Linked DNA regions of Schizosaccharomyces pombe. The gene in region 1 interacts genetically with each later gene. Each region holds a gene or a part of one and is shown in the gene's direction. Other genes may lie near its edges.

Evidence for each region.
Region 2: mutations in vph2 (region 1) and wdr7 together harm fitness more than expected from each alone (negative genetic interaction), as found in Schizosaccharomyces pombe (2 studies listed by BioGRID).
Region 3: mutations in vph2 (region 1) and get1 together harm fitness more than expected from each alone (negative genetic interaction), as found in Schizosaccharomyces pombe (2 studies listed by BioGRID).
Region 4: mutations in vph2 (region 1) and eme1 together harm fitness more than expected from each alone (negative genetic interaction), as found in Schizosaccharomyces pombe (2 studies listed by BioGRID).

The regions. Positions count from the first base shown.
Region 1 is NC_003421.2:66,699-73,402, forward strand, and holds vph2 (V-ATPase assembly protein), read left to right. Parts: upstream 1-1,553; 5' UTR 1,554-1,832; coding exon 1,833-2,255; intron 2,256-2,318; coding exon 2,319-2,537; 3' UTR 2,538-2,781; downstream 2,782-6,704. Other genes in the region: SPOM_SPCC757.11C (transporter), read right to left, coding at 2,943-4,358. UniProt on the Schizosaccharomyces pombe protein: Required for vacuolar ATPase assembly.
Region 2 is NC_003423.3:2,267,468-2,277,245, reverse strand, and holds wdr7 (WDR7-like protein), read left to right. Parts: upstream 1-3,993; 5' UTR 3,994-4,051; intron 4,052-4,288; 5' UTR 4,289-4,469; coding exon 4,470-4,735; intron 4,736-4,815; coding exon 4,816-5,928; exon of another isoform or gene 5,929-5,971; coding exon 5,972-7,673; 3' UTR 7,674-7,678; downstream 7,679-9,778. Other genes in the region: SPOM_SPBC16H5.12C (uncharacterized protein), read right to left, coding at 539-2,465, 2,525-2,636, 2,945-3,107, 3,162-3,173; SPOM_SPBC16H5.14C (DHRS family dehydrogenase), read right to left, coding at 7,679-8,013, 8,068-8,198, 8,250-8,644.
Region 3 is NC_003423.3:4,315,855-4,322,994, forward strand, and holds get1 (GET complex subunit Get1), read left to right. Parts: upstream 1-3,054; 5' UTR 3,055-3,092; coding exon 3,093-3,179; intron 3,180-3,227; coding exon 3,228-3,594; exon of another isoform or gene 3,595-3,687; coding exon 3,688-3,749; 3' UTR 3,750-4,265; downstream 4,266-7,140. Other genes in the region: m-AAA protease Yta12, read left to right, coding at 434-2,755; SPOM_SPBC16C6.01C (lysine methyltransferase), read right to left, coding at 4,266-5,687; protein Spo2, read right to left, coding at 6,367-6,768; vps1302 (lipid transfer protein), read right to left, coding at 6,975-7,140.
Region 4 is NC_003424.3:3,293,605-3,302,828, reverse strand, and holds eme1 (Holliday junction resolvase subunit Eme1), read left to right. Parts: upstream 1-2,915; 5' UTR 2,916-2,961; coding exon 2,962-3,048; exon of another isoform or gene 3,049-3,104; coding exon 3,105-3,196; exon of another isoform or gene 3,197-3,280; coding exon 3,281-5,309; 3' UTR 5,310-5,487; downstream 5,488-9,224. Other genes in the region: glycerophosphoryl diester phosphodiesterase Gde1, read right to left, coding at 5,488-8,878, 9,183-9,199. UniProt on the Schizosaccharomyces pombe protein: Interacts with mus81 to form a DNA structure-specific endonuclease with substrate preference for branched DNA structures with a 5'-end at the branch nick. Typical substrates include 3'-flap structures, D-loops, replication forks and nicked Holliday junctions.

The DNA.
Region 1 (6,704 bases):
ATAGTATTGGTTAATTGAATAGGACACATATGCGTTTCTAGGAGGAGAGTAGAACCTTTTCTAAATTACTTCCTGAAAACTGATTAGTTCAAACCTGCAGGGATTTAGCGGAGATTAAAAAAAAAAAGGAAAACGGATTAGGCTCCTTCTAAGCTCTTATTGCAGTTTCTTATAAATTGAAATTGCAATCAATAGCTGTGATTACTTCGACAAAAATGAAGTAAACGACCAAGGAGAACGGAGTAGTGGTAAACGGGGTGTAGCAGTGACAAAGAGAAAATTTTCTGCAAGTAAGTCTTTTGGTGGGGAAATAACGAAGTTTGAAGAACGTATAGTAAAGTCGCACAATTTACTGATAGGAAGTGGTAGCGTAGCTTTACGCCTCAGTCGTTATATCTTTGGAAGTGAAAATGATGAGATTAATAAATGAGAAGAGCATTACAAGAATGGGTTTTTTAAATAATCGTAAATTTCCTAGCTAAAGCTAACGAATGCTGCCAAGTGAAATATCATTCTTTTAGTCAATATAGCAGGTATTAACGTAGTTGTTTTCGTTGGCCTTTGCTTCGGTATATAGGATAGCGTGGTTCAAGCGACTTTGTAAGATCAGATGAAAGATAAAGGGCAAAAACCTAAATAGCGTCCATGCATCAGTGGAACTTTCTTTCTTCAGATTACGTTATATGGTATAGTGAGCTTTGAAAATCGTTGAAAAAATTCGAATTTAATGGTGCAGAGGCAAAGACGATATGGACGTTCGGAAAAATGAAAACTATACTGGAGGAAGTTATCTTTATTTGATTCTGTCTTCGTAATTAAGCTTCCTTCAGCTTCGAACTTTTCATTTCCTAATTCGAATACCTATTTGTTCACCCGTACCTCTTTAGGTTTATATTTGTTCTTGCAAACTGTTCTGCGGCGATATGAATTTTGCTACCCCAAAGTTTACGTAAGCCAAGTTTGTCGTAAATAAATTCGCAAAAAAAAGTACTTTGGATGGTGCAACATGGAAGAATTGAACGCCGTTGAAACGCTGGTATTTTTGAACATGAAGTATCTCAGTATTCAACCCAAAGTCATAAAAATTCTTGAACCTTTAGCTTTCCAAGCGCTGAATGAGCATACTGGGACACATTTTGAAACCATAGACGCAAGTAATAATTGCGTAAGTTATATAAAACTCATAGAGCCAACAAAGCTAGTAGCATTTACTTCTTAATATTATATTGAAATTCCAATAAATAATCTTTGAATATCGTTTGTATGAAATACCCGAGAGCAATTGCGGCGCTAAATTAAACTGAATGTTCAGTTACCAAGATTTATGTCACTTCATAGAAAGATATAATATCACAGTAGCGTGTACCATTCTTCTATACCTCACTGAACGAGGAAGTCTACAATTCTGCTTGGCCTAGCACAGTGTTAGCGAGGGTGAAGAATAAAATTATGATGCTAATTACCAAAACGGTGATTTCAAAAAAAGTTGAGGAACTTTCATATTTTCATTTTTTGCCTCTTATAGGACGCTATGTATTACGTTGCGTAACTTTGACTTTTGCAAATACTTGGATGTACCACTGTCTCCATGTTTGTTTGTTGGTCAATATAAAACGTAGTATTAGACATTAAAATATTGGTTTAATTATTTCATTTAGAAAACTCAATAGAAATTTAGCAAATATCGTCAACCAACCTAGATTGATCCTGTTTCACGCAATTCGGACTATATGAATCGTTTTTGATTGCTTTCTAGACTTCATAGCATTATTACTTACCCTTCTACTTTTTTAATACCTTCGAAATTGTCAAATTGACTCATTATTGCAAAAATGCTGTACAGGCTCTCCGAAAAACAGCAGACAGACTTACGGTGTAATAAATTAACTGTCGATGGATTTGAGCTGGTAAAAATGTTAAAGGAATTACGATTACATAACAGGAATATCAATTTTTTGGAATTTCTTCGAGGTGTACAGATTGTGCCGAGCGACAGTGTCTTCTTGGGCGAAATTGATGAAAACAGCCATACTCAAGACAATACAACTACTTCTATCTTAAAGGAGAAAGAGCTATATGATGGTATTCCTCTGCTTCCATCAATGGCAGGCGTATCCATGGACCCTGAGAGAGAAAAAAAATCAGAGTTACGACTAATGAAAAACCAAATCAGCGCTATAATCAATATACTCTTCACAGTAGTAGGAACGGTGACCGCTGTTTGGTACTGCACTTCATCTTTATCTATTGAAAAGGTATGAATTAAAAACTTTCGTTTTGTTCCTGGGAGACCTTTGTATTGACTTAATATTATTTAGAAAATTGCGCTATGTGCGTTTTCAGCAATCTTGGTTCTAGTAGCAGATACGTTTCTTTATGTCCGCTATCTATCTGCACAACCCGTACGAACTTCAAAGAATCATACTCGACAAATAATATATACATGGACAACAAATGACCCTGTTCTACAGTCAAATGAGCAGCTAGCTATAGAACTGGGAGCCATTCCATCTTTGAAGGAAAAAAAGAACCAATAATTATATTCTTAATTTTTAGATGTTTTATTAACGAAAGTACCTTTGATGTTTTCCTGTAGATGATTTTTATAGGTTGTTTGTCTAATTGATCATAATGGCATACCTCTCTATGTGTTAATTGAAGGGCAGGCACCTATGGGCACACTATAGATAAAAAATAAAAAGTATTTAAGATAAAAAATTCGAACTCATTTGGCTTTTAACGTATATTTCATCAATTAATTTCATTATAATTAAAGATTTAGCAACATTATTTCAATTTAATTAGCCATTTGGTATTAGATTTATTTGTAAGGAACACAACTTACAAATTTATAAATAAACAACAAATCAACCCCCCCTTGTAAAAAAATTAAAAAAAAAAAAAAAAATAGAGAGCAACCTAACCATTGAGTTACCAGTGAATTATGCAAGGCGCAACTTGACCTTAAGTTTCTTCCATATAATCAATAGTGCAAGCACAGACATAACGTTTAATATTAAGCATACCGCAAAAAAAACAACAGGTGAGAACGAGCGAAATGCACCGCCAAAGATAGCACCAACTGTGTCGGATAAGGAAATTGATATTTGCACAGCGACGTTACCTATCAGGTGGTACTTAGGATGTAAAACCTTTGTCAATAAAGAGACCGAAGGGGAATTAGCAATAGAAGATCCAAAAAAAACAAGGGTGTAAATAATAAAGTAAGGTTGTACGAATTCCTTGCCTGTATAGTGAATAGTTATATGAATAACCATGCATACGATGTTTAAACAACAACCCAACAATATGATATCTCTGTCAGTCAAGTAACGCGTCAAATAGGAAAATATTAAAAGCAAGGGTACGTTGATAATTCCAGCCAAAGAAAGGAAGTTACCTGCTTGGAAGGATGAATAATTATAAAGCATAGAAGTGTAAATTGGAACAGATGCTTGGTATGCATTTAATAGAAAGTAAGCAGAGAAGCCAGAGAAAGCGACAACGAAAATAACAAGACACCCCACAAATCCTAGTTTTGAATTGGTATCCTGTTTGACATCATTAATGACATGCTTCTCTTCGACTACTTCTTCCTTTACGTCCGTTTGCGGGCTCAAAACCTCCCGGAAACAAGCAAAGCCAAACAAAAACAAGCCTACCCAAATGAAAGCCATTAGCCAGTTACCCGAAGTATATTCATTCCAGATATCGCTTTGAGACTTCATTGAAGACTTGGCCATTAATCCTCCGATGAATGGACCAGCTGTCAAACCAAGCGTTGCCATGACTGAGTTGACCACACCCATCGACGTTCTATATTTGATGCTGATCAAGGCTTTATCTGTGAAATAGCGCTTGTGGTATAAAAACATGGTACACGCAACACCCGTAAAAATACGACTCACAAGAATCAAGGCCACACTTTTGGCTTTATCTGCGAGTGCATACATGATATGACCAATAATGCAGCTTATACACGACATTGTATATGGTCTTCTATAAATCGTATATCCCTTGGCAGCTTTCGGAGTCGAGAATCTCAACATGGGATACAGCAACACAAGGGCAGTGATTGTGGGCAATCCGATAATTACACCGGACAAACCATTTCCTCCCCCCAGATGTTGGACAAATCTCTCGGACGTAGGAACGACAATGGTGAATGAAATGCAAAGAATTGTGTTATTTAACAGCATCAAAGCCGCACTGATGAACGGTGGTTTATGCGTAGCAGCCGGTGAGGCAGAAGGGTCATTGGAAACTAATCTTACAGATTGCTTGTATCCCGACTTTTCCTTTTCATCAAGAAAGGATGAGACCGAGAGGTCTTTTTCTAAATTACTTTGTTGCTCCATAATATAGACTCAATGGATCCATTCAAAAACCTGCTCTACTACGAAAACTGGCCTGTGGAATAAGGTATAGAAGGAACGAGAAAACAAAGAGAAATTCTTTGTTGTTTTCAAATATTTTGGTGTGAGTAAAGGAAGAAAGTGGAATTTCAATAGAATAGCATGACTCGTTTATTTTATATGAGATCAATTTTTTTAAGTTGATGATATCCGATAATTTTCATCATCGTATAGAATGGATAAGAATTCCCAAAATAGGATATCCACGGTGCTTCCCTAATTAAGCTTTCCGTAGTGCGGAGTATTTTACCATATATCAGTCATTAGTTGTACGGCTACTGTACTAGCTCACATGGTCCAGTGGTTAAGACTCATCGTTGTGGCCGATGCGACCCAGGTTCGATTCCTGGTGTGGGCAGTTTATTTATTTGTTCTTTTTTAAATTATTAATTACTTGTATAAATAGGAAATAATCAGCGAGAGCAAATAGTACAATTCAGTTATGGCAAGTACAAAAACGCAAAGATAAATGCAAACGTAGAAACCGGTAGACATGATGGTAGAAGGAGAATAGAATTATGATAGGATATGATGATAAGTATCGAATAGAAATGTCTTGCAAAGTGTGTTTGGCAGATAAGCCCATTTGAGCGGTCGAATATTTTATGCTTTTTTTCAGGGCCAGCCGGCAAGATCACCTGTCTATTTGTCCGTTGGCAGTAAGCGTTTGCTCAAGATATGGATGCGCTTCAGTACTTGAAGATTTACAGACTGTTCGGGACGGAAAGACTCATGACTGTTCGGGTCGATCATTTTGGCTACTATCCGTCTGTCTATGATAACCAGTGTATGCATGGAAAAAATGTATCGTAAATCGTTTAATGAGAATAGGGCATAAAGCGTTATTCAACGGATGAAGAAGGAAACTTGACAATGGCGATGTTGAAAGACAAGCTATGTGAGATAGCAGATTGGTTCCTTGCAGTACACCAGCCCCTACAAATACTATGATTCTTTTAACTTAAACATCCTGCTCAGTTCCTTCTAATCAATACTTGGTTACACTAGTTTTTTGGCATAATGAGTTCTCAAACATGCTTTACAATCTCTCTTACATTGTACTATGTATGATGAAAATCCAAGTTTTGCATATTTCGCCTAGTGCACACTGCCCACAACCTTTTCTCTTGCACACGTAGGTGGCTATGAAAGAGGATCGTCTGTGCGCCTCATAAATATCGTTATTCAGCATATCAAGTTTTTGCAGCAATGTTTCATACGACGCTCAAACATCCTACCTAGATATTGTTTTTTTGAATTTATAGGCCAAAATAGAATAGAATGACAATTTGCTTTGTACTCACCAAGTCCGCGCTTGTGATTACTTTGTAATCATATATTTATTTATTTATTATTCTTGTTCTATTGTTTATTTACTAGTGACCTCATCTTCCTTTCCTGAACATCGCAATGTTTCCTCATCTCTTCTTCCCTTTCCCATGTCCTCGTTCCTAAAGTTAAAATCTTTGTTTATCGACCTATTATTAATAATCGGTAAACAAGTTTAACGCTTGTTCTTACACCTTTTTATGTGTATTTACAGCCGCCAAACGTGGCTTATTCAAAGCCCCACTTGAGAACCAATGCGAGCGCATCTGGAAAAAGGGCTATCGGTAACAAACAGTCTCATCTTACGTCAGCCTAAATCCGCCGAAGCAGCGATCGGCCTCGTGGTTGTTACCTAGCTGCCATGGCGATATTTGTTTACATTCGTGCTCGCAGTCATATAAATAAAAGATCCTCGCTACACTACTGAACCTCTACACATCTAACATTTTGCATATTTTTCTAATATCCTCCCTTTAGTAGGCTATATCTAAAGGGTTTGATACCCGTTCTTCATAACTTTTCTTTTTCTATCTTTTTTGTTTCGTTTTTTTGGTTTCTTTTGCGTGCCAAATTTTTGGTCTTTTTGATTTTGCATTTCATTTCTATTTTTCTTGGTTTCCCCATTTTTTGGTTTTGTATGAGTGTGCTCAATCAACTTGTCAAATAATTTCCTCATCGCATACCATATTGATTAACTTTTCCTTTTCTTTTTTTAATCGTTTTTTTTTTTGCATTTACATTCCCACTTGCCAAACCGAGAATATATCGCCCGGCGTTTGATTTTGTTTCCCATATTTTCCTCTTCGACACGAGCCTTTCCTTGTTGCCTTCTTTTGTTTTTTGTTTTTTTTGTTTGTTGAGCCGTCATTTCTACAAAACATTCCCTTTTGCATTTTTCATCGCATATATAGCCTAAAAGTTATCTCTCAAAGTGCCATCTATTTTTTGGTTTCTTTTTTT
Region 2 (9,778 bases), on another chromosome or scaffold:
ACTGTGGAATACGGCCATCCCGCAATAACATACGGTAAGGGTTGGGACCTTGTGTTGCAAAAACAAAAAAAAATTGTTTAGTTGAGTAGCTAGCTTATTGTTTGTGAGTGTTTTAAATTTCAACTTGGTTATTTAATTAATGAATTTGATCTATTAAAACTTACATCTTTTCTAAGAAGAAAAGGCTAATAACTGCTATTCTAGCATAAAGTAATTAATTATTTTTACTATATAGTTTTCTGCGAATCAATCTTGTCAAAAATCACTTTATTATTTCTAAACAAAGTCGATATGAAAGAAAGTAAAGTAAGCACCCTTTTGTCAATGACAACCGAATTCGAAAAAGATATCTTAAAAGAGTCATATCAGTTATTTTGGCTTCGCAGTTATTGAGGTAAATGAGTGCGTCAGATAAATTTCATGAAAACTTCATCATTCATGAGGTAAACTTTTGCATTAACATCAGTAAAAAGGTGAAAAGATGGTATAAAAATCAGTTCTAAAACAGCATTGAAAACAGTGCAAAAAATATTCATCATTAACCATGGGTAGTAGGTTCAGCGCTTTGTTTATTGACACTTCCACCGCTTTGTAATGGACGAGGATGCTGCATTCTGTTCATTCGGCCGCCTCGTCCACGTCCACGATTGGTACGCATTCCAGTTCCATGTCCCTCCATCCGGTTATTTCGATACCATCCTCTATTTTGACGATAGTACGAATCATCACGCATGATATTCACCCGCACACCTTCTGGAACTTTGATGCTTCCAAGGGCCTTTGAAACAGCATTCTGGTTTTCAACAAATACATATGCATAGTTAGTGGGGTTTACGTTTTGAGGAGCTTGGGGACTTTTGTAACGATTGAGTGAAGTACGAATTTGAATATTCGTAATCAGGCTGTCTGTCCCGTCCTTAAAGTAAGAACGGGCTTCCTCTTCAGAATTGCAAGGGGTAATATGAAATCCACAACGTTCATAACGCTGCTCACCACTATATTGACGGAATTCACGATCGTTGCCCTTCTGCATATCAGTTCTTCTACCTTCTTGTGCTTGAGATCTTGTAACATTTGCAGCATTCTCTTGTTCAAGTATGGTAACCTCTGTAGTCGTCTCACCTAGCTCGAGATTTCCAGTACCCTTAGTCACCTCTTCAACGTCAACTTCCTCTTTCCCTCCAATTGCTGGTTGTTCTTCTTCATTAGGACTAGGCTTCTCTGCTACGCCAGAAATGGGTTCTTCCTCGGCAGCAGGTGGTCCCGACTTCTCTTCGATTACTTCATGAGTCTCAGCCGACTCTTCTGTAGTATTCGCTCTTGACATTCCTAGCTCATCAGTATGTTCCTGATCGTACCCTTCAATCTGTTCTTCTTCGGTTGGTGTAGCCGTAGCTTCTCTGTTCTTGGTAAACTGTGCTTGAGATTCCACCAACCTATTGTTAGCGTAATAATAGGTACCGGTATTTTCCGAAGTTGAGCGTGGAATGTGAGATGCATAATTTTCGTTACGACGTGAAGCCATGCGACGATAGCCTAAATTAAAGCCATGAGATTTGCTTTCCACTTGAACATGCCCATTTTCGACGACAAAAACAGTCCATCCAAAGGAAGCATCTAATAAATTGAAGTTCCATAGGTTTTTAAAAGCAGTGCCGGGAAGCATGTTATTCATAGCATATGAGTTAGTTGCATCGGGCATGCGAGAGACTAGGCGAACAACATTGTTTATTAGATGATGTTGTTCAGGGGTAACCATCTTCTCAACCTCAGCCTTAACAGTGTCATACACTTCCATAAACTGTGCACGGGCAGCCGAAAGTTTTTGAAGATAATGTTCAGGACTATGATTTACGCAAAACTCATTGTAGCTAGCTCCATAACGAAAATGAAGACCGGCGGATAAAGTCAGGTCAGCCTGGCAAGCAGTAGCTAATTGAGAAAGAACACCTTCTCTTCCAATGGGATGATGCGTAATAAAAATACGTGCCTCCTCTCTGTCAAGCAGGCTCTTAGCGGTTTCTATTAGTTCACCCATTTGAAGGATTGTAGTCCACATAGTACCCTGGCCACCAGCAATAGTTCCTTTACCGTCTCCATTGTCAAAAAGCTTAAAAGGGACATAAGGACCTCCAAGACCAAGTAAACGGATTTTCATATCTCCAATTTGCAATAGGTAGGAATGAAGTTCGTCCACTATGTTAAGGTTTGGAATAGAATATTCTCCAGAACGAAATTTTTCCAAAACGTGCACATCTTCGCAAGCTCCCCATACTACATATACAGGGACTGAGAATTTCTTCTCTTGTGACAAAAATTGAGGTAATTCTGAAAGCAGGCAATCGGGGTGAGAAGCAATACTATTCTTCAAATCCCCAATTGGATTCGAGGGATAATAATCAAAGTTTTTGGACCTAGGAAGCTTTTTTATGAGAGGCGAGAATTGGACAATGTGACGAAGAGTACTGAAAAAAGGTTAGAACAAAGAAAAATGAAACATAAAAATTTTTGACACAAAACATACCGTTCAGATATGCTAGGAAGTGAGGATCGCTCAAAAAATCCAAAGTCACCAGTGTGGATGACACAGGAGGCATTGGTTTCCTCAACCAGGCTATTTATTAAACTCAGTTCACCTGAAGGGATAGTTATTAGTAAAAACGCGTATTAAAGAGTAGTAATTTTAAGGATAGGAATAGCTAAGGAGAATAAAGTGTATGGACAAAATTCTTTTACGAACCAACGAGGATCTTTAATGACAAAATGAGTAAATTGAGCAATTGCGCTTCAACTCCTGCTAAGCCATTATGGATAAGTTCATGCAAAAGCATACAAATTCGCATCTTCTTATCTTAAAAAGTAAAACGATCGTCGATAATTCCCCCGATGGGGTGCTTTTGAATTCTCGCTGGCAGCTCTAAATCCATAAACAACGCATACTTACCTCGAACATCGGCAATACATAAGATCCTGGATTTATTATCCAATGTGAGTACTTGAGCTGAAACATCCAACGTGGAATTATTCTCGGAATCTGAGTACGTTTTAGAGGATTTATTTTCCAGCGTCCCAGTTGAAGGTTCCGCTTGAATATCACTTTTAGCCGTCTTTTATGTAATTAGTTTAAAATTTTTGCAAAGATTCATTAGATCTATACTTACATCCACGCTCATTATATCGTAAAAATCTAATGAAACGGATAAAACAGTAAATGGTGTTGAGTAAGGGTTTTGTGATGATGCCTCAGTTTCGGCACTGTACTACTTCCTACTACAATAAGAGAATGTTGCTTCGTAATGTTATAACTTAGATCCACCACAAACGAAGTAAAGTAAATTAAATATATAAATACACAAAAAGCAGCAGTTAATAGATAGTTTTTGAAATTTTTAACGTGACAATTGTATTTCTGTAGTATAAAACTCCACAAAAAATAAAAATAAAAATAAAATTTAGTATATATTAATATATATATTTATATATAAATATGAAAAAAAAAGGTGCTTCAATGAAGGATTACAAAATTCTTGAGAAAGCTCGGTAATCGGGACGGCAGAGTTTATTAGGGTATATGTTAAATGTTGCAGCTTTGGAATGGAATTGTTAACTTATTTTACACATACTATGACTTAAGTTTGCCTCGTGTACAGTAGATGATGCTACAGTCTGAAGTATATTTCAATTTCGTTATATCGTTTTTCCAGGTTGAGATTTGAATACTAGTTGCAGTGCGAAATTTACAACATTTGAAGTATGTAAATGTTCTGTTTATTTGGCAAATTGAATAAAATAAGACTGTTAGCAATTTTTTCGGTTTTTTTCTATGTACAACAATACTCTTTTGTGTTATTAAATAATGCTCGTTTACTATAACTTAAACTCGTTTGTACGCTGTATTCTTACTACTAAGTATTGTCAAGATTTGGAAGCAAGGGCATCGCCCCATCAACTAGGTCATATAGTATTCGCGTGCTTCAAGTAGCACAGCAGCACATTCCCACCACCGAGTGGAATTCGAAGTTGTGTGCAGTGGTATAAATTTTGGAGAAGTGTAAGTTGTATATAATTCAAGAATGAAGAGATTTATGTAATGATTGATACAATCGGAGCTGTCGATGCATACATTCTATTAAATGACGGATGGACGAATTGTTTACATGGCTATTTGTTAGACATTCTTGTCTATGGCTGTTGCAAGTTCTTCATTTTTCTTAGATTCTCTTCCTCAAATACTTGTTGCATCTTGTTTATTCGTTTGCGTTCCGAATTTGCTAATTTTACATTCAAGAATATCGCGGCAACTGTTAGTCTGCCTAAATATTGTTTTAATTTCATTTTCTGCGTTTTCAATTACTTTTATATTTAAAAAGGTTTAACAATTACTGAATTGAGTGGTTATTTGGGAAGCCGTGTTCGAACAGCGTTCAAAATTGATGTCAGCCTTAGACCGTTGTTGATTGCGAATCAAAATGGATTGGGTTGCATTGTCGAAAAGCTGTAAAACTCATTTGTTAGATGAAGGCCTTGACGTGTCTTCAATACATTGTTTTGATCAGTATTTGATAGTAGGCCAATGTTCCGGCCAAGTCATGGTATTTGACGTTTCTACAGACAATCATTTCACTTTGATCCAAACATTTATAGCACACAAACATTCCGTTTCTTCTATAGTTTGCCTTCCATTTGAAGCTGATGGAATTGTAGACCTATCAATCATTACACTCGACGAATCTGGGTATGTTGAGCAACTCTCATTAGCCGAGCAGCAATTATCAAATTCATTATTTAACTTATTTCTTGCTAACATTTTCTCAGATTACTTTGTCAATGGCTACTGAAAACATGTGACCGACGAGCTACTTTGCAATTGTGTGACGGGCTATGTTTAAAGCTATTTAGATTAAATAACAACTTTCTTGCTGTTACCGGAACCTTTTTGAAAATATATCTCATTAGAATCTCCAACTTTCAGATAGTTGCGACTTGGACTGGTCATGAGGACTGGCCTATTTTGTTTCCGTTCAAAGACGAAGCTTTATTAATCCCTGTCGCCTATTCAGATGGATCTGTATCTCTTTGGTCAGTTGATTGGTCAGCTCTTACTTTTAAAAGAAATTCAGTTACAAAAGCAGATGTTAAACCAACTTTTGGTAAGGTTATTGATGTTGTACCAGCAGATTGCATTTCTTCCAATTATGCGCTATATGTATACTCGGATGCGGTAGTACTATTGGAATCGCATGAGAAATTTATAGCTTCATATTCACTTGCAGAGATAACATCTGTATTTGTTTTGGCTGATGGCACGGCTTGTATTTTTACTCTTTCGTCTTCAACTTTACTCAAACTTCATCAATCTCCTGAACCTCATTTCGAATTAATTTCTAAGTATTCTGGAGATTTTCCATGGAAATCGTGCACCATTTTAAAAAGTAAACCCGTTAGTTTGTGTGTTTATCCCGAAAAAATAACTTTCAATTGGTTAACAGAAGGAACCGTAGACTCATGCAATCTTTGTAAGTTGAGCAATACAGCTGCTGTTTCCTACGCTTATACGGACTCTCTTAATTTATTCCTTGGAACAACCTCTGGTTTAGTGATGTTTTCTTTGTTTGACTGGTACCTTCACAATGATCCAGCTCCTCTTTACTCTTTTACAAGGGTTTCTGGAATTGTAACATATATGAAAATATTTGAAACTGAACATTCACGCTCAATTTTAGTTGTTGCTACCAAAACTGGAAAGGCTTACTTTTATCAACAACTTCAGGGTGAAAGATGGAGATTTCTCTGCGAGCGTGCTTTGCAATCTTCTTCAATTACTAAAATTATTCATGCAAAGAAATCATTATCTTCTGGTTCATCAGGCTTATTTATTTTTATGAGTTTAGATGGCTCATTGTGTGCCTTGGATGAATCTTATAATCTGTAAGTTATCAGTGTGTTATCAGTTATTAATCGACTTTTATAGTCTAAGCTACTTGCCATCTGATGGTGCTCAAGTTGAAACTTTGTACTCATTTCCCGATTTAGATCAAATCTATGTTGCTTATGACAATTTTCAACTATTAAATTGGGACGTTGTGGATCAAAAATGTTCTGAAGGAAATTATTCAGATATTATTGACTCTTCGTTCATATCTATTGGTACTTTTGATAAATCTAACCTCCCTACTTTGTATCATGGTTCTTGTGCTTTACTCACCGATAATTTGGTTACTGTTTTTTTAGACGCTCATGATTTAGTACTGAACCTCAATTTTTCTAATGAAAATTACATAGAAAAAACGTATATTGACGAGTTCCTTGACTTTATCCAACCTCCTTTCCTAAACTCTGATATAGAGATGGAGCATCAGTTGTTAGGTACTGTTTTTGATCAATCCAGTTTGCATCTTGGTGTGGGTAAGCCAGATGGAAATGCCATACTTCGATTTGACACCGAAATGAAGTCAATAATAAATACTGCACCAAATTGTTCCGCTTTGCTGTTATATCTATATTTTTCTCTAATGGTTCCTTTATGTAAATATGATGGGCTGAGCGATACCAAATTGACTGAAGGAATATTATTAAAGTTAAAAGACCTGAAAACGGTTGATTACAGTATTTCCGTTCTTTCATACGTCTGGAATAATTCAGGCAAGGTTATGCAGGGTATAATTAAATCAATGTTGTCGAGAACATTGGAACTTATATCTCCAGAGGAACTTCAGAGGCTTATATATTATTATTTTGAGTTTTTTACGACTACAGGTGGAGAGTACTATCTGAAAAAGGAGGTGCAACATTCACTGTACATCTTGTCATTAATTGTCAGTTTACGGCCTTCAGCATTTGATGTTTCACAATTGAAATTTTTGTCTTCCTATTTATTACAAAAATCCGAAAGTATGGACTATGACTTAACAGCAATTCGCCTGTTGAGTAATGGTTTTTCCGTGTTTTCAAAACATATTGATCCTGCAAAGTTTATATACAACCTGGTTTTGTCATCCTTAGAGAATACTAAGGATTTGGATGATAAAAATAGCATTCTCTATAGATCAATAGTGGATGTCTCAGTTTCGAATGCTGTTTTACTGCTTACATGTTTATGCGATGAAGTTTATGAGCAAATGAAATCAAATTTACGTTCCGTTATACTAAAAGTTGTGTCTTTGGCAATTGAAAACACACAATCCGAATTTTCTTTATTTAATCAATTGATCACGGAAAAATTACTTCCAATCCTTTACTCTAGCCGCTCGGTTGAAGAAGTTCACGACGTTACTAACGCAATTGCAACCCAATTTCCATTTGCATGTTTTGATAGTAAGGTGGAAAAATATTCCTACATTGACGATGGTGATCTTGTGGTTTATGAAATAGCTAAAAGAAGGAAAGTCGTCAGCAAGGAAAACGCCGAATGTGATATTCAGGTATTGTCCGCCAGTCCTTCTGGTGACTATTTTGTTGGAGTCAGTGCTACGCAAAAGGAATGCATTATTTGGAAATACAGCCAAGATTTCGTAAAATTCTTGAACTTATCAACACCTTCATTAACGATCCGAAAACGTATATTATTACAAACTAACAAAACGAATGAGGTTGAAATTCCTGAAGTCCTATGGATTAGCCAGTCATCAGCAGAAGTCCATATTGGGAGCACCTTTGCTATCATTGACTTGTAGGTGGATTATGAATAAATTTTATCCATGCCACTAAATAGACGAGCCAATTTTTGTATTGGAAGTGGGAAAAACCTCAGTAGAGGCATAAAACGTGCGTAAAATGGATAGTAAAAACGACCCGATTTGTTTGTATATAAGTTTTGAATAATAATTTTTGCTAAGTTTTGAGGTTCTAGTAGAGGGGCTAATACTCTGTTTGGGGTATCTTTTTCGAACATTGTAGATTTAATTTGCCCTAAAACATAAAGAGAAAACTTGAAGTTGGGATGCTGTGATAAAACCTCTTCCTCTAATGTTTCATGTAGCGAAACTAGTGCCGCTTTTGAAGATGAATAGGCACCTGTTAATCACGTTAGAAAGGAAAAGCAAATTTTATAAAATCAACCCCACTTACCGACTCCCATCGCACTAAAATAAGCCAAGGAGGATGCTATGTTGACCACATGAGGATTTGGATCTTGTAAAAGGAGAGGAAATAATGCAGATGTAATTGCCAGCTGTCCGATCACATTTGTTTCAAAGCATCTAAATTAAGCAGTTAGAAAATAAGGCTTACTACGCTTAACCTGTACTTACTTTTGTAATTCTTGTCTTGATATAGACAGCAAATGATTTTTTGGAGCAATAGCTGCAGCATTGATCAGAGCAAAAGGGGTCCTGTTCATCTTTTTCAAAGAATGGACACATCCTTCTACGTCCTTATCTTTGGTAATATTACATTTCAAAGCACTAAATTTAGAATTGTACTGTAGAAAAGATGCAGGCTCAGTACTGTCCAAAGAGGCGACGCTGAAGCCTCTATCCAACGCCTCTTGAATAATAGCATGACCAAGAATCCCACTTCCTCCTGTTATCACAATCAGTCCTTTAGCACATGAATAGGATTGTTTCCTGAAAAGTAGAGGAAACCAAGAAAGGGTTAAGGCAGCACAAACAAGCGAAATCACCAATAATAATATATGATTCAACATCAGGGAATGACTTCTGTGAAAAATATGATAAGTTGCTGAATGGAAACTTGGCAGAAAGTCGTTAACATTAGCAGCGAACTCTTTTGTGTTTCGAATAAGTTAACGTCCAAGTTCTGATCGTCTAAAGACCCTAATATCGTATTTGACGAAGTCAAGGAGAGAACCTTAGTAGATGCTGCCAAACAAAAGCTATTTCCTAGTGTAAGCAAAAATCACGCGTAGTAGAATAATTCATTAAATCGTTGAACACTGCTTTTATAAACTTATATAATAAAGTTTTGATCAGTATCGCCAATGTTGTATTGAACTTGTTAACTAAATTATTCAATCCGTACTACGAAAAATGGAATGCCCATCCTGATCTTAACTTGATTAGTCTTATAGAGTCAAAGATAAGTGATGGTTTTTTTTTTAAAATATTACGCCTATCATAAAAAGAAGCATTAAAAAATGCGATTAAGAATTGCGTCTTCAATTTCCTTATATATTGAAACATAGTACACACTATACCTTCCCTTCATCTTCGACTAGTTGTTTTTAAAATATTTGAAAGTTTGAGCGTGCTCAGTTTTCTATGTTGCATATAGATCAAAGGAACATATGTATGTTAGTAAATATCATTGCATTCAACTATGCTATTAATTAATGTTTATTAAATGATCCCAACGCATGTTGATGTTGTATTTTGCATTTGGTAACCCGCAGTTGGAATTTTCAGGCATCTACGTACAAAGTAAATAAAGTGCAAAAGGGTCAGCTCATTAGTTTTACGGGTCCTCAATTCGATGTTGCAGATTTTACAAGTTTTTAAAATGTATTTCATTATTACTTTTTATATGCCTAATAAAAAAGCCATAGTTTAATCTATAGATAACTTTTTTTCCAGTGCACTAACGGACGTTACATTCCCATACAAAACTGCGTAGTTAAAGCTAAGGAAAAGTTAATATCATGTTAATTAAATACGCTATTTACAATAAGACATTGAACTCATTTATATCGTTGAATATGAATAACCAATTTCAGCGAATTTTTAACAAACATCGTTCACCTCGTTTAAGGATATCTTGTGTATGGGGTGTTGACTTGCTTTATCGAATAATTACCGTACCTGTAATTGGCTTGCTGGATATA
Region 3 (7,140 bases), on another chromosome or scaffold:
CTATTTTTTGTTGACAGGATTAGTAACGGGTTTATTGAGCTGAAAAAAAAGTGACAACTGTGTTCTTATTCCTTTTAATTACCATTTTTGCTGACGTGAAACATTGGAATTTCTTCAATTTCATAACGCTTTTTGGAGGTTGCCCAAATCCATGTCCGGAGGTAATAATAAATTTTTATTTTAATACAACCTTATAACTTTTCGTCTCTATTCGTTTTGGTCTCAATTACTGAATTGAACGATTAATTACTGCTTTCTTGAATTTTTTAATTCTAGAATCCACCTTTACTCGTCATATACGAAGGATATTTTTCTTAAAACAATCATTTACGTTTATCTCTTTCGATATTGAGGGTTTTATATATTATACTTGCCCTTACACGCTCAATTCAAGTTATTGTACCCTGCGACTTATTTCCATATAATATTCCTTATGCGAAATCCCTTTTTGACGTTTAGGGCACCTACTAGGAAAACAGGAGATTACCTGGTTTCTAAATTCGTAAAGAAGGATAATTTTTCTTCTTTGCGTTTGGCAAGGGCTTATACTTTTTCTACACGTTCCACAGCTGTTTCACAATTTTCTCTTCTCTCACTTTCTCAGAGATCTTTTCAGTCCCTTAAAATAAATAAAGGAATACCGGAAAAACATAAAATCCCTCTCATTTCATCTAAACAATTTAGCGTAACCTCAAAAAGATCGCAAAATGGGTCTTCAGGATCCAATTCTGATGCTAATGGTAGGAAAAATGGCCAGAAAAATGATGATTCAAAAAAGAAGGGATTGAATGGCAATGATCCGAAAAAAGTTTTTGAAATAGCCTTAAATGGCAACACTATTTTAGGTGGAATTTTAGTTGCCTATATCCTTTACAATGTTCTCTCGCCTAATGCAAATATGCAAGAAATTACTTGGCAAGATTTTCGACAACAGTTTTTAGACAAGGGTTTAGTTGAACGGCTAGTTGTTGTTAACCGCAATATGGTTAGAGTTATTTTGAGAGGCGGTGTAGCTTCAGGTTCAGGGCAGTACTATTTTTCAATTGGTTCCATCGACTCTTTCGATCGAAAACTAGAGGATGCACAACGTCAACTGGGTATTCCACCTTCTGAATTTGTCCCTGTCGCTTATCATGACGAAGTCTCTGTTCTTGCTACTTTATTGTCTTTTGCTCCCACCTTACTGATCATTGGAAGTGTCATTTATTTATCGCGACGGGCTTCGGGTGCCGCAGGAGGTGGTCAAGGTGGCATTTTTGGAATTGGTAAGAGCCGAGCGAAGATGTTTAATCATGAAACTGATATCAAAATAAAATTTGCTGATGTCGCTGGCGTTGACGAGGCTAAAGAAGAGATTATGGAATTCGTCAAATTTTTAAAAAATCCCAAGTTTTATGAAAGGTTGGGGGCTAAAATTCCTCGTGGTGCCATTCTTTCTGGTCCTCCTGGTACCGGTAAAACTCTTCTTGCTAAAGCCACCGCTGGTGAAGCTAACGTCCCTTTTTTAAGTGTGTCAGGTTCTGAGTTTCTTGAAATGTTTGTTGGTGTTGGACCTTCCCGCGTAAGAGATCTTTTTGCTACTGCTCGCAAGAACGCTCCTTGTATTATTTTCATAGATGAAATTGATGCAATTGGTAAAGCAAGAGGACGTGGAGGACAATTTGGTTCCAATGATGAACGCGAAAGCACTCTTAATCAGCTATTAGTTGAAATGGACGGTTTTACGTCTAGCGAACATATCGTCGTATTCGCTGGTACTAATCGACCAGACGTATTGGACCCGGCACTTCTACGTCCTGGTCGATTCGATCGTCAAATTACGATTGATCGTCCTGATATTGGCGGTCGTGAACAAATATTTAAGGTCCACCTTAAGCATATTAAGGCAGCCGATAACATCGACTTAATTGCCAAGCGTCTTGCCGTCCTAACTTCTGGTTTTACAGGAGCTGATATAATGAATGTATGTAATGAAGGAGCGTTAATTGCAGCACGATCAAATAGTAATGAAGTCCAAATGGTACATTTTGAGCAAGCTATTGAAAGAGTCACGGCAGGTTTGGAAAAGAAGAGTAGGGTACTAAGTCCTGAAGAAAAAAACACCGTTGCTCATCATGAAGCTGGACATGCGGTAGCTGGTTGGTTTATGGAGTACGTCGATCCACTATTGAAGGTCTCAATCATTCCTAGAGCTCAAGCCCTTGGCTATGCTAGTTATTTACCCAAAGATCAGTATCTGATGAGTCGAGGGCAGATTTTAGATCAAATGGGAATGGCTTTGGCTGGGCGTGTTTCTGAAGAAATATTTTTTGGACCAGAAAAGATTACTTCGGGAGCTTCCGATGATTTTCAAAAAGTAACGCGCATGGCTCAAGCGTATGTGACCCAATATGGTATGTCTCCGACTGTTGGTACTATAGCTTATCCCATCGACACTCGGGAAACTGTTCAAAAACCATTTTCTGAGGCTACAGCTCAAATGATTGATGAAGAAATTCGAAAGCTTGTAAAGCATGCATACGAAAGAACTAAGAAACTTTTGCTAGAACATAAGCAAGGCTTAGAAAATATTGCTCAACGTCTATTACAGAAAGAAGTCATCACTTATAACGAAGTTGAGACGATTCTTGGACCAAGGCCATATGCATACAAACATTTAAATATTTCTGAACTTATGCGTCAGTCTGAGTATAAAAATGATCACGATCCTCGAAATCCACCAATCCCCCCATCTCCTCAACAACCTTCTGCCTAATTTGTCAATTTACTGAATTTAAATAAAGCGTTATGAATGAAAATAGTTACTTTCATGGATCTCATGATCAAAGTATTTGTCAATTGAATATCATATAGCTATTTTATCTATTTTTTCTATTTAATATTACAGAAGCTAGATAAATATACTTAACATCAATTCTTCTGAACTTTAAAAGGTTAATAGATTATTATTTTCTAACACAAAATAGCTAATATCGTAACAAACAAACTTGTGTTTAGTTTCGACCTTTAGACCAGCATGTCATAGGGAGCGTGATACTCAACAGTTACACGTTTGACACTAACCACTGTACTTTCTTACAAGTCCATATTTTATGATGGATCTGATTATTTCAACAATTTTATTAAGCTTATTTATTCATTTCTTCGATAAATTTGCAAAAAAAAGGACTATTGATGGGGTAATTTAACATATATACTTGTTGTAAAGAAAACTAATAATGTGAAAGGCTTATCGAATTTACGTTAGTGTTTCTAATAATAAAGATTTAAAGAAGAACAAAGAAATTTTAGAGCAGCTGCTTACTGTTAAGAAAGAGCTAAACGCTACTAGCAGTCAAGATCAGTTTGCTAAATGGGCCCGTCTGAATAGAAAGTATGAACAACTCAGTCAAGAGTGGGAAAAACAATCAGCCAATGTTAAAATTTTCCAAGATACTTTCAAGCGGGTTTTAAGCCTTTTTCTTTGGATTTTAACCCGTGGATTCCGGTTTTATATTCAATTCAAAGAGTCCAAAACACCTGTCTTTTTCCTCCCTGCATTCTTGCTTCCTTCTTGGGCTCTATGGGTGCTATCTCTTCCACGATCAATCTACGGTATGTTGTTTTTAATGAAAATTCTGAAAATCTTTTTTTTATTTTTATTTTCATTTATCACAATGGCAGCTGAAATACTAACATGGCATGTAGGATCGGTTAGCTTAACAGTTTGGAATTTTGCGGTTCAAAAAACTATTTCCGGGATATTTTGATCTCCAAATCATCAAAGACGGTGACTAATTTTAATATTTTATCATTTAGTTTAATTAACTAAAGGGAAAAAGATGCCATATGTATTTTCAGTAAAGTCATTTTATAAATGCGTTTTCTACTTCCTTTTCTCATAAGAAAGAATGCCATGGAAAGCATAGTTTACCATGCACGATTAATATTATGTTATTCCTTCACAAATTGTACACTTTATGTGCTCTACACTGGTTTTCATCTAAATTGTCATCGGATTTCTTATTTCTATGCCTACTAATTCATTTGCTTAATTTGACGCTTTCATATTTCTGATGCTGTTTATACCGAAAGTTTGAAATGGCAAATAGGTTATTTATTACACAGGACATCTAGAAAGGGAACGATGCAGGGTTTTGGAAAACATCATAAAGTTACTACAATGTTAATTAAGAAGGGCACAAAATTATGATTAAAATTTAAGCTGAACTTCGATCTTACCTTTTCCTTTTATGCAACATTTCCAACCGTTGTATGTTGTTTTTTTAATCTTCAAAATTTTCAGTACAAAGATAAATTGTTTCTTGCATTGATTTTTCGAGTAAATTAAGTTCATGATAAAAAATTTGTAAGACTAAACGAGACCTATTCTCTCGTTTAAGAGTCGGATCGCACAATAGAGTCTTATAAGCTTCAGCAGTCAACCCACCATTTTTGAAACGACTAATGCGCTTTTGACACAGCATCTGTAGAAATTCTATAGCCTTACAATAAAAAGAAAAACCAGAGAGTTGAGCAACAACCTTTTCTTTTTCTCCCTCCTTATGTGCTATAAACACAGCCCAGATTTCATTAAAATACTTTGTAAGCATTACTATATTCATATCGCACTTTTGGAATTTGATTTTGTAAATGCAAAAAAATAAATATAAGTAAAGCCCGTAACTGGGACCATGATCTGTTATTATATAAAGATCCATAGGTTGTCTTATCATTACTGAACGTAAAGTCTCAGACTTGTCATTTGCGTATGTAGTTGGGGTGACCAGCAACTCCTGGGTGTTGATTATTCTTTTTTTATGAATCCACTCCATATAAAAATTTCTGTTAGTTTCATAAGCAATCATTGTCATGTCGACGCGCCAAACTTTGCAAGCGGTATCAATAAATCCATACTGCGTGAACAATTCATCAGCGGCAAAGTTTCCGAAGGAGTTGAATATTTCGGACATCTTTCGTATATACTGAAAAGAAATAAATTCTATTTTGATATCGCCTTTATGATCATTTGACTCCTGACAATGTAGCGAAGCAATAGCTGGACCAGACTTGTGATTAAAAATATCGAAAAAGGGTATTAAAGATAAACCGTAGTAGCTGTTAACGTAAAAACACCTGCTTTGGACGAGAACACAAGTCTCTAAATACTGATTCCATTTTGGACAAAGCTGTTTGAGATCAGCATGTTTATAAAAGTAAGGGCGGACCAATTGATCATATTGATTTTTGTATACTCTTAAATTTGTATTTATTACATCAAGCATTGAGGTTCCCTCAAGACACGTTTTATCTTTCCATAATAATGGGGAATCAGGCATACAAGTTTCGTCCAAGGTGTTTAAATAAGCGTTCCACGGACTATCTGTTATATTTTCCAATATTACAGTTATAACGAGCATGACCAGCCCAACCTGATCTCTATTGTCAAAGTTAATATCATCAGACCGATTAGATTCATTAAAATGTGTATACAACGAATCTCCAAATCTTGAGTTGCGAGGACTCAGAATGATCCTTCTAGGAATCTTTGCTAAAACTTCAAGTTCATCTATATCAAAGGTAGAAAATATACCATCTCCTGCGACCCCACTTGAAGCGATATACAGTTTGGGTGAAATGTAAGCTTCGTGTTTTGCTAGCCATTCAAGTAAGGGTTGGTACTTCAAAAATTGCTTGGAATTGTTCATGCTTTATTTAACATGTTTTAATAAGTAGTTAATAATATTTTTTATGCGCTTTCCGGCAATTTTGAACATTTGAAAGTTAATATCTTTTCAAAGCAAATTTGATTTTAAGCGTAGGTAAATACTCCAACCTTCTGATGTACACATTGATTTTTTGAGTAAAACTTGAACGTATCTTAGAACAGAAGATAATTAATTTCTCAAATTATGTTTAATAAAGCACATTAGTCTGTTCAAACTTGATTTTTAATCCGCTACGCGTTTTCAACCTGTCCGATACAGAAGGGCAATGCAGGATGGATCGTAAATATAAAAACTACTATAAGAATATGATTGAATACGATTGAAAAGGGGTAATAAACAAACGCTTTAAATATAAAAAGCTTCTTCATGGTGATAATTTTACCAAGAGTTGTACAGACTTTTCGCAATAATGCTTTTTCATACAAATAAATTATTTCATTTATAAAACATTCATAATTAAACAGTAGATACTTCCATCAGTAATGGAGAGATGTAAAAAACTAAAAATAATATATGACATAGTTTGCACATTACTTCCATTCACTATCCGTCGTAAATTGTCATGTCAAATTTTAGAAGGAAAAGATACACATAGACTGAGTATGCTTAATAACTAATAAATTCGAAGAAATTTACATCGACTCATATGTCCCATTTTTTACGGTTCGCTTGAGGAACTAGCATAATATGCGGTTGCTTGTTCTGTTCTTTTCTTTAATTTCACATTCTCAATACAAGATCTTTCATAAGCCTTGCATTCTTTCTTCAGCGTTTGCTCAAGAATCTCCTCATACTCAGTCTTTAGATCAGTGATACTTATTTTATTGTGCAGGACTTTTTCCACACAATTAGACAAGCGATAAAACAGTTCAGCTTGATAAGCCTCATTGTCATATTTCTCACTTAATAATTTCAAAGCCATGTCCTCAATTTTAGCATTAAACTCCTCTTGTTCTGCTACCATCAAAGCCATTTTTTCGTAAGCTTTAAGCAAGTGCTCAAATCGCTCACGCATTAATTCCTCGCCGTAAGCAGAAGAATCGGACATCGTTATGCTCATAATCGGTTTTTTTTTCTCTTTCACAAACAATTCTAAGTTTGGTGTGGAAAGATACTCACAGTCAAAGAGGGATTCACACCGCTGCCAAAACACAGCAAATGTAAACAAACAAGAAGAATTCTATTCAGTTAAACAATATCAATTGAATAGAAGAAAATATACAATAGTTTAAAAAGTAAACAAAAATATAAAAAAAAATTGATAATTTAAAGTGGGGATATCTGCTTCAATCGCAATCTATAATGTTCTGAATAAGCAGTAAATGCAGCGTTTATGCAGTTTTGCCTCATCTCCTGCGAAGCTGGCAAAGGTAAATATCTCACTGACTTGTTAGACAACGTACAAACCAAGTCATGCTCAGATACCCGCAAA
Region 4 (9,224 bases), on another chromosome or scaffold:
GACTAAGAAAAGGTTTTTTGAGGAGGATTTGTTGCGCTTTTGTATGGATACGATCAAGATAATCAATTACGTTAGCCCACCAATCACGAAAGAGTCAATATTTTCCACGGGCCAATCAATCCGACCATGTTGGTTCAGGCTCGATAGCCCTGATCCTCGGAAAAGCAGCGTGCAAAAGCCGCTACAATGCAAATTTCAACTTTGGATCGGGTGACATGTGACTCAGAGGGGAGACGAGGCAGAAGCAGCAGGCGAGCGCAAAAGTAAACAGAGAAACGCAGCAAGAGAAGAGAAAAAAGGAAGAGAAAGAAAAAATGAAAGAGAAGAAAAAAAGTAAATTGAAGAAAAGCATTGTATAATAACATTTAAAATGGGAGAAAAAGAAAGATCAATAGAATAGAATAGTATAGAAATGCAGTAATGAATGACAAGAAACCAGGGAGCATCAGACATGTTCAGTAAATAATTCCAATAAAAGATAAGTAAAAGAAATTTGTCTGAGTGCAAAAGAATATTTCAAGATGTTGTAAGAAGGATTATTTTGTTTATTTTGTTTTTGTTTTATTTTATTTTCTTTTTCTTTTTCTTTTTGTTTTTCTCTTTCTCCTTCTCTTTCTTCTTTTCTTTTCATCGCTTCCTCTCATCTAAAACTTTGATCCGACTGATAGCTTGGAATCCATCGTATTGCATTACACCACACTATACAACGCTATATCCTTCGATGGATTATCTGGTCTTAGTCTTAGTCTTAGTCTTTATCCTAGTTATTGGTGCCTGCCCTAGCCCAGACAGAGATTTGAAGAATGGGGGTTAGGATCCTTGATGCCCCCAGTAGACAAAGAGCAGTATAGCAATGACAATGACAATAGCGATAACAATAAAATAGCGATAGTTTAGTAAAGAACTGTTAAATAGTAATAGTAATAGCAAATACAATTTCTATTTGAATCGCTGTCTTTGTCTACATTCGTTTTTTGCTCATGTTCCTTCATCTCCTGTGTTCATGCTTCCGTACGAAAAGACCTGCAACGCTTCCGGCCCATCGGACGCTGCATTTTACTTTTTTAGATGGAGCTCTGATCGTCCATCTCTCCCATTCCTCCCGGCTACTAAACCCGGAGTTAAGATAAAGGTGCGCCTGCTATCCGAAGAAAATAAACTCTGCGTAACCGAAGCAACAATGGTCGTGGTAGCAAAAGGAGTATAGGGTGAAAAGAGAAAAAGATAAAAGAGAGAAGAGAGGAGAGGCGAGAAAGGAAACAAGAATTATAATTAAAAAAAAAAAAAAAAGAAAAAAAGAGATTTTCTCTTAAGAATCAAAACATACTGAATGCAATTGTTTTGCCGAATACTACGATTTTTGACGTATTGCACTTTTTTTGGCTTATTGCTGGATCAACATGTATAAGAGTCTATTTAAAGGATTTCCGTTGTAAAAATACAACTTATCACACTCACACGTTGACACTAAGAGAAAAAAGCTATAGCGAACAATGATACACACACATATACATACGCTGTTGCTATTCACATACGCTGCCTTGATACACACTGTCTTGACTATAAGGAAAAAAGGTTTGGCTTGGTCACAAGTAAAATGTAGCGATGACTTTCGTACTCTACTAATGATTGTTTAGTGAAGAATGATAAAAGATAGTAGTGTGTATTGATTATACTTGTATAATGCAGTTGAATTTACTATGAATAATTTGGAAATTTCGCACAACTCGTTGGTCCTCTTAAAAAAGGAGAAATTTCAGTTTGCGAATATTGGTTTCTCTCTCTCTTTACTTTGCTTTGCTTTGATCTGCTCTACTATACTCTACACCCTTGCCTTTCTGCTTTCTTTGTTTGGTTGCAAAATTCACAGATCGCAATGAAAAAATGTTTTAAACTGCGAACTAATAAGTAGAATTGATTTTGCAATGAAAAGTAAAATTAAATTAAATAGAAAAAGAAAATTTTAAAAAGAGACAAAGAAGAGTAAGGAAAAAAAAGCCCCCCCCCCCCCCCCCCCGAAAAAAAAAGAAAAACAATGTATTCATGGTAAAAACAAAAAAAGTTTTTACTCATCATTCATTGTATCGTTGATCAATTAAAGAATACAAAAAAAAAGTAAGCATAAACCCATTTGGAAACATTGCATCAAAGGATTTTTCATTTTCATTTTCATTTTTATTTTGTTTTATTTTATTTTATTTTATTTTTTTGTTTACCATCATTGATGAAACAGACTAATGAAAAAGAAACTCTAGTACATTTTTATTTTTATTTTTATACTATTGAGCTTTAAATATTAGAGTATTTTATTCTATTGAATTTGAATTGAATTTATTTTAATTTTGGTTAAATTAATTGATTTTCTTTTCTTTGAAATTTTTATTTTATTCAATCTTTTTACACTTTCTAACGTACTACCAAAGTCCCTAAATACCGTATCGCCCTTCTACCTAAAATTCTTTCAAAATGACACACTAAACCACAGTATTTGCAAAAGAAATACTCACCCATCCCACTCATTGATTTCAATAATCTTCAATTCTCAAACACAAAACGACATCCTTTCAACTACTTCTAAAAGAATAAATATTTTCCTTTTTTTATACTATTCATCTTATCTAAACTCCTCCTGCATCCATTTCTCTTCTCCATTTTTTACCCATCTCTCACCTAACCTATATATACTTATATGTAAACAAACCTACTACTCTCTATACTTTCCATACCAAATATCCTCAAACATCCACGCAAACCTCCAATCTTTTTAATTATTCAAACTCTTTAATACCATTCCTATCTAAATTTTTTACTTCAAACTTTTTTTTTTTTTTCTCATTTCTTTTCGCTCTATTTCTGTCACCAACTCTCGTTCCCTGCCGGCTCCTTGTGTACACTTTGCCCTACCTGTCCTAACCACCAAACCCTCTATTGTTCGGAAAACAAACACTACACATGCATTGAATGACTCTGCAGTCTACAGATTCCGCTATTGTGATCGATTCTGAAGCTGATGTTGACATTTCAAGCTCACAAGCTTCTCCTTCCAAGGTTTGTCGCGTATTTCCCTTTCTTTCTGTTCGCTTTTTTTTTAACCCTCTTTTTAGGACAATATTGCTTTGTCAGAACACAATGTTATAACTGTTCTTGATACTCCTCAAAGATCTACTCAATGCGATAGTTTGCTAAAAAGTTTCAGGTAAGTTGACAAATATTGTTGCCAGCATTTCCTTCCTTTCCACACTTTTCTTCCACATCTCGCTAATCGTTCATTTGGGGTCAGTACTCCTTTAGTTTCCGGCTCCGAAGATGTTCTCCCTAGTCCCCGTGATGCCCTTAATATCACTAATAAAAAGTCGGTTACCGATAATCTTTTGCTCTCTTTAACTTCTTCAAACCAGTCAACAAACACGAATTTAAATCCTTCTTCACGCGTCGAAATCATTAATTTAAACTCTTCTCCCCCTAATTCCCTTTCCTCGCAACCAAAACACCAAGAATTTCATTTATTCCATACTCCCACCATTCCTAGGACTACACAATTGTCATCGAAAACCTCCTCTCCCATCGTTATTCCCGACGACAATGAACAAGTGGCTTCCCCTTTATCTAAAAAAGCTGCTTCTTTGACTTCTTCACCCTTAAAAGATTTCCAGTCCTCCCCGCCGCTCTCCACAGTCCTTCAAAAATCCCACTCCCTTCACGATATACTACTGGACACGAATGATGACGATCATTTCCCATTTACCCAGAGTCCGCTAACAAAAACAAAATCTTTCAACGATGCACTAACATCCTCATCCTCTATACTAAAGCCATGCATGCCATCCATCGCTAGTCCTACTTCTAATCGATTATCACATGCCCCTTCTACGCCTAATTTATTTCCTAACCAAGACAGCTCCAATACAATCGACCTCATCAATAACCGTTCCAAAACCTCCGTAGAAAATCAAGAAAGAACTTTCAATCTCACATCTGATGTGCACTTAGATAGCCCGACCTCTCCATCCAAGCATTCTTCAATTGAACCCAATACTAGTCAGGAAGATAGTTTTCAAGAACTTCCTTCTCTAAACAAACTTTCCATTCAAAGTAGAGCTTTTAAAAAAATGAGACTACCCAAAATTTCAAGGACTACCGATACGCCTCCTGCCTCTACTTCAAATTCAAATAAAAAAAATTTGGATAAATTAAAAAAAATGAGAAAATTATGCTCTAGGAGCTTGGAACCGTACGAGCTAGACTCTAATACACAACGTAAGAGGAAACGTTACGAAGATTCTTTGAAAAAATCAAAAACTTTAGATAAGGTTGACAGCTTGAATAGAAAGATGGCGAAAGAATTGGACAGAAAGAATTCAAAGGAACTTCAAAAAATTAACAAAGTTAAGAGAACCAAAGAAGAATGCCTATCTGAGATAATTCTTTTATCGCCGGATGATTGGGCTTCATCTTGGTATTCAACTGTTCGCTCTCAATTAGATTCATACAACTGCCAATTCGTTGTCAATTCAAATCAACCAAAAGACTCAATTATGTGGAAAAGGAAGGTAAACAATGTGTTTAATTCTTCTACCAACCGGTTTGAACTTAGCATAGAGCATGAACAAATCGAACCTTTTGCCCTACTACGGTTGAAATGCCGGGATTTTATAAAATACATCGAAGAGGACCAAGCTGATACTTTTTTTCATGAAATGTCTGAAAAGTTTAAAGGCTGTAAGCTAATACTGTTGCTGGAAGGCATCCCAAACTATTTTAAATCTCTGAAAGCAGAATTAAATCGTCAATATGCAGCAGCTGTTAATAGCGGTACCAGACCTTTGTTATTTGGTTCTTTATCAAAATATCAAAACTTTACTAAAGAAAAGTTAGAGAGTGAAATCGTCCGCTTCAGTTTCGAACATAGTATTCTTATAAACACTTCAAATGACGAAAAAGAAACCGCTCAATGGATAGTTTCCTTTACCGGCGACATAGCTTTATCTCGTTACAAGCACTTTTCTAAATTTTCAGCTAGAGCCTCTACTACCGAAATAGGACATGTCAAATCCGCCGATAGAATTGAAAACTCTCTAAATTTTATGTTGCGGCAAATACTACGAGTTACACCTAACATTGCTAACGCCATATGCGATCAATTTGACAGTATACCATCTTTAATTCATCATCTAAAAACTCACGGCGAGGAATCATTAACCAACGTTGTCATCCAATCTAGTATTAGTGAACGAAATTTAGGTCCGGTTTTATCGCGCCGTATATATAACACTTTCTTATGTAAAGAAGCATCCAGTGATGCACCATAGTGATCGGTCATTATTTGTATTTCATTAATTGTTATCATGATATTTTTTCCTTTTTTTTTCTATCTATGAAATTTTCTTATGATATACTTTCTTCTAACTAAAAATTAACTAATATCGGTTTCTAACTAAAGCACCTCATCTTCTATATCGTCGGTAGTATTCGTTCAAACTTTCTAGATCAATCAGATTCCAAACTTTCATCGTACTGGTTCAAGGCACGTCTAATGGCTAACACATTGTCTACAATGACAGCATCAACTCCAAAACGTACTTGGCGTCGGACATTGTCAACATCATTATTGAGAACACCATAGGTGTAGCAAGATAAACCCAATTGTTTAACTGCCTTGATCAGCCTCGGGCACATAATGAGCGGTTCACAAGCACTAACGATACCCAGAAAACTCCACTGTGAGGCAAACTTTAAAGCTTGTCTAAGCGATGCTGCACGAACGTCTGTTCGGTAAGCGGTACCTCCTTCAGTCAAAAAAAGAACAGGATTAGTCGATTTCAAAGAAAGTAAGATGCATATATCAGGATTAAAACTAGAGAAAATATACTTTCTTTTACCACCATACTTTTTGATTATCGATAGAATGGTATCCACGTAAAAGTTATAATCATAAGCTATAGGGAGCAATTTCTCTTCCTCAGCTTCACTTAGCATGGGGTACTTAAATTCCACATTAAGTCCTACGGATTGTGGAACTTCCTTCAAAACATCCTTTAAAGTTGTGAACGGTGCACAAATCGTATGACCAAGGGCATTACCCTTATATACTTTAGGCTTCAAACGTGCGTTTTCTTCAGCAAATTCACCGAAATTAACCTGTGATCCTGAAGGTGTAAATGAGGAACTGTAGGCCCTAGGACGTCTCTTCTGCTGAATGTCACTTGCATCATCTTTAATTTCTTCTGAAGGAGAGTGGGAAGCCCCTAAGAATTGCTCCAAAGTCAGCGAATGCACTTGTGCATCCGTTCCGGTTTCGTTTACGATAAAATCATGGTATACCACTGGGACCATGTCTTTAGTCATTTGCACATCTAATTCAACGTAAGAAGCACCAAGATCTGCCGCTTTTATAAACGATTGTAAAGTGTTCTCGCCAAGTTGAAGACTCAAACGATCAGGCTGATTCTTACCAAGTCCACGATGTCCGATAACCGCAACACCATTCGATTTCCCTGATTCTGATGTAGTTGTGGCAGATTTGTGTAAAGAACGCTCAGCGTCTTCCAATGCAGTGCGACTTACGTTGGAAACTGCTTCCAGCGATAAGGCAGGGGTACTTATGCCATCATTTGACGAAAATCTATCATCAACTGTCACCTTAGAAATAAGAACATCCGCATTAACATGAGCTATTGGTTTAAGAGTTTTACTCGAAAGTAATGGTAAGGGTGCCAAAGGTTTCAACGACTGCATATGATTCCCCAAATCAGATACCAGAGAAGTCAAGCAACATACAGTTCTCCCTAATATTTTATGGGATCGATTTGCTAACAAATCAATTGTAATAGTTGCTTCTTCTGTATTTCTTGTAACGAAAACCAATTCATACGGTGGAGAAGACCCGTTTACAGGTTGCGGACTATTTTCTTGTGCGGCATCATAATGCAAATGAATAGAGTCGTCGGCAATTTCATCAGGCTCCGCCAAATTCTCTAAGCAAACTTCACCGGCATTATCAAAATGGGAGCGAGGGATATCAATAATCACTGAGTTGTTTTGGCTAGAAGATGGTGTCATAGAGCCATTAGAAGCAGTAGTGTCGTTTTTACTCAACGAGTCAGTAGATTGAGACATGAAATCTACTGAAGATGGTCTACTTGCGGCAAAAGATGGAGACCGCCCTGAAACATACACAGCATCATCACCTTGAAGACTAACGCGGATTCTACCGGCCAAATCACTGATTCGAATAATGACCACTGAACGAGATAATTGTAAATCCATGGCACGTTTTCTGCTCCTCATTTCGGAACTTGAGGCTTTGATATAAAGTGTATGTAAATTAACAGGCTTATCACTCAAGGCGACTTGAGTTCTAAGTTTATCTGCTAGGTGTAAATACCCCCGAACCACAGCTTGTTCCATAGCAGTCCAACCTGAAGAATCAACTTCGTCAACCGAAGCGCCCGAGGCAACTAAAATTGAAACAATTTCGGAAAGTCCAGTAGCTGATGCAAGCATCAAAGGAGTCCATGAATTCAAAAAATCCCTTGCGCTAGGGTTTGCTCCAAGTTTGAGTAACATTTTAACACATTCCGGCCTGTTATAACGAACAGCGGTGTGTAAAGCTGTATTGCTACTAGCATCAACTTCGTTAGGATTGAATCCTGCAAGGATGAGTTCTTCTACGATCAAATCGTAATCGCCTACACAGCAAGTCAAGACCAAAGGAGGAACGGGTCCCGGCTTGGTAGAGGTTGTTTCCTTATCCTGAGCAGAAAGCAAAGCATGAAGAGCTTCAACATGATTTCCCTTAATAGCCAAAGTCAAGGGAGTGTCGTGCATTACATCGCGCCAACATGGAAGCATCCAATTCAATGGCTCAGAGTCAGGGATTGATGAAACAATTTCACAAAACTTACTGCACAATCCTGCCCAACCGAGTTTCGCAACAGAGTGCATCACACTCTGTCCCTTGCTATTTCGTTCTACAAGAAGAATCCTTGAAAGTAAACGATTAGAATGGTATGAATCCACATAAACCACTGAACAAATTTGTTTCAACACCTCCAAAAAATATAAAACTCCTTCGTCAGGACCACAGAGGTTGTTAATTGCACGACGTAATGCAGAAGCCAGGCACTCAGAACGTAAACCAATTCTTCCTATAACTTCACGCATACAAGCTTTGGCTCCCGCAATGATGGAGGCAGCCAGTATATCTACGAGTACACTATCAGGTGCATTTATACAAGCGGTCACGACCTCTGCGGCAATATCCAGTTGAATAAAAGCTAAAAGATCCTTCTTCAAGGGATGGTGAATTGACAATTTTTCCAACTTGTCTTTCACTTCACTATCGTTTTGAGAAGAATTCAAAGCCTTCAGGGCAATCATGGACTCATAGATCTTGGACGAATTCGCAAAATCAAGCTTACACACCTTCTGCTCATAAAATGTAACCAAGCGCTCCGTACCAAGGTGCTTATCCATATTGGCAGCTAGCTTTTCAAAGGCCAGCTTATTCCATTCACAAAAGGATGATAATTGTTGAAGACGAAAGTCTAGCTCTTTCAGTTGCTTCGCCTTTTCTTCAGCTTCGTAAGATGAAGACAGTGCCTGTGTAATTTCAGTATTGGGAGATTTCTCCGTAGACAAACGAGTGACATAATTATCAAGCTGGACAATGCGAGTATTGAACAAGTTAACAACCTTCTGAAGATCGTTTTCCAACATTTCGTCGATCGATCCCTTTGGCCATGATCCGTCACTATTACGCCTCAATAATTTCTTCCGTTCATCCTCGGGAAGCGCAGCAACCAGTTGAATCTTTCGCTTTATTCCATTATAATCAACATACTGTTCTGCAAACTCCGGGATCAACGCCAATTGAAGACTGTCGGTTAGCAGACAATGACTAAAGCAAACCAACAATTATAAACTAAGAAAAAGAAAAGTTTAAACAATGGTTAGTCATACGGTTGCAAATGATGAGAATGAAGGGAAAGGAGTTTACTGGCAGATCATCTTAATTAATCCCGTACTCCTATTCAACACAAATGCGTATCCTCAAACATAACCGTTACATTCAAGACATTAAAAGCCTTAACCATAATAAACTTTTTGCAAATATTGCATTCTTTAACGGCTATTTGAAGGTCTAAACAACATTCTAAAATGTGTAAAATATGTCGACCTACCTTTCACCAAACTTCATAATAAAGAGGACTGGGATTCAGGAA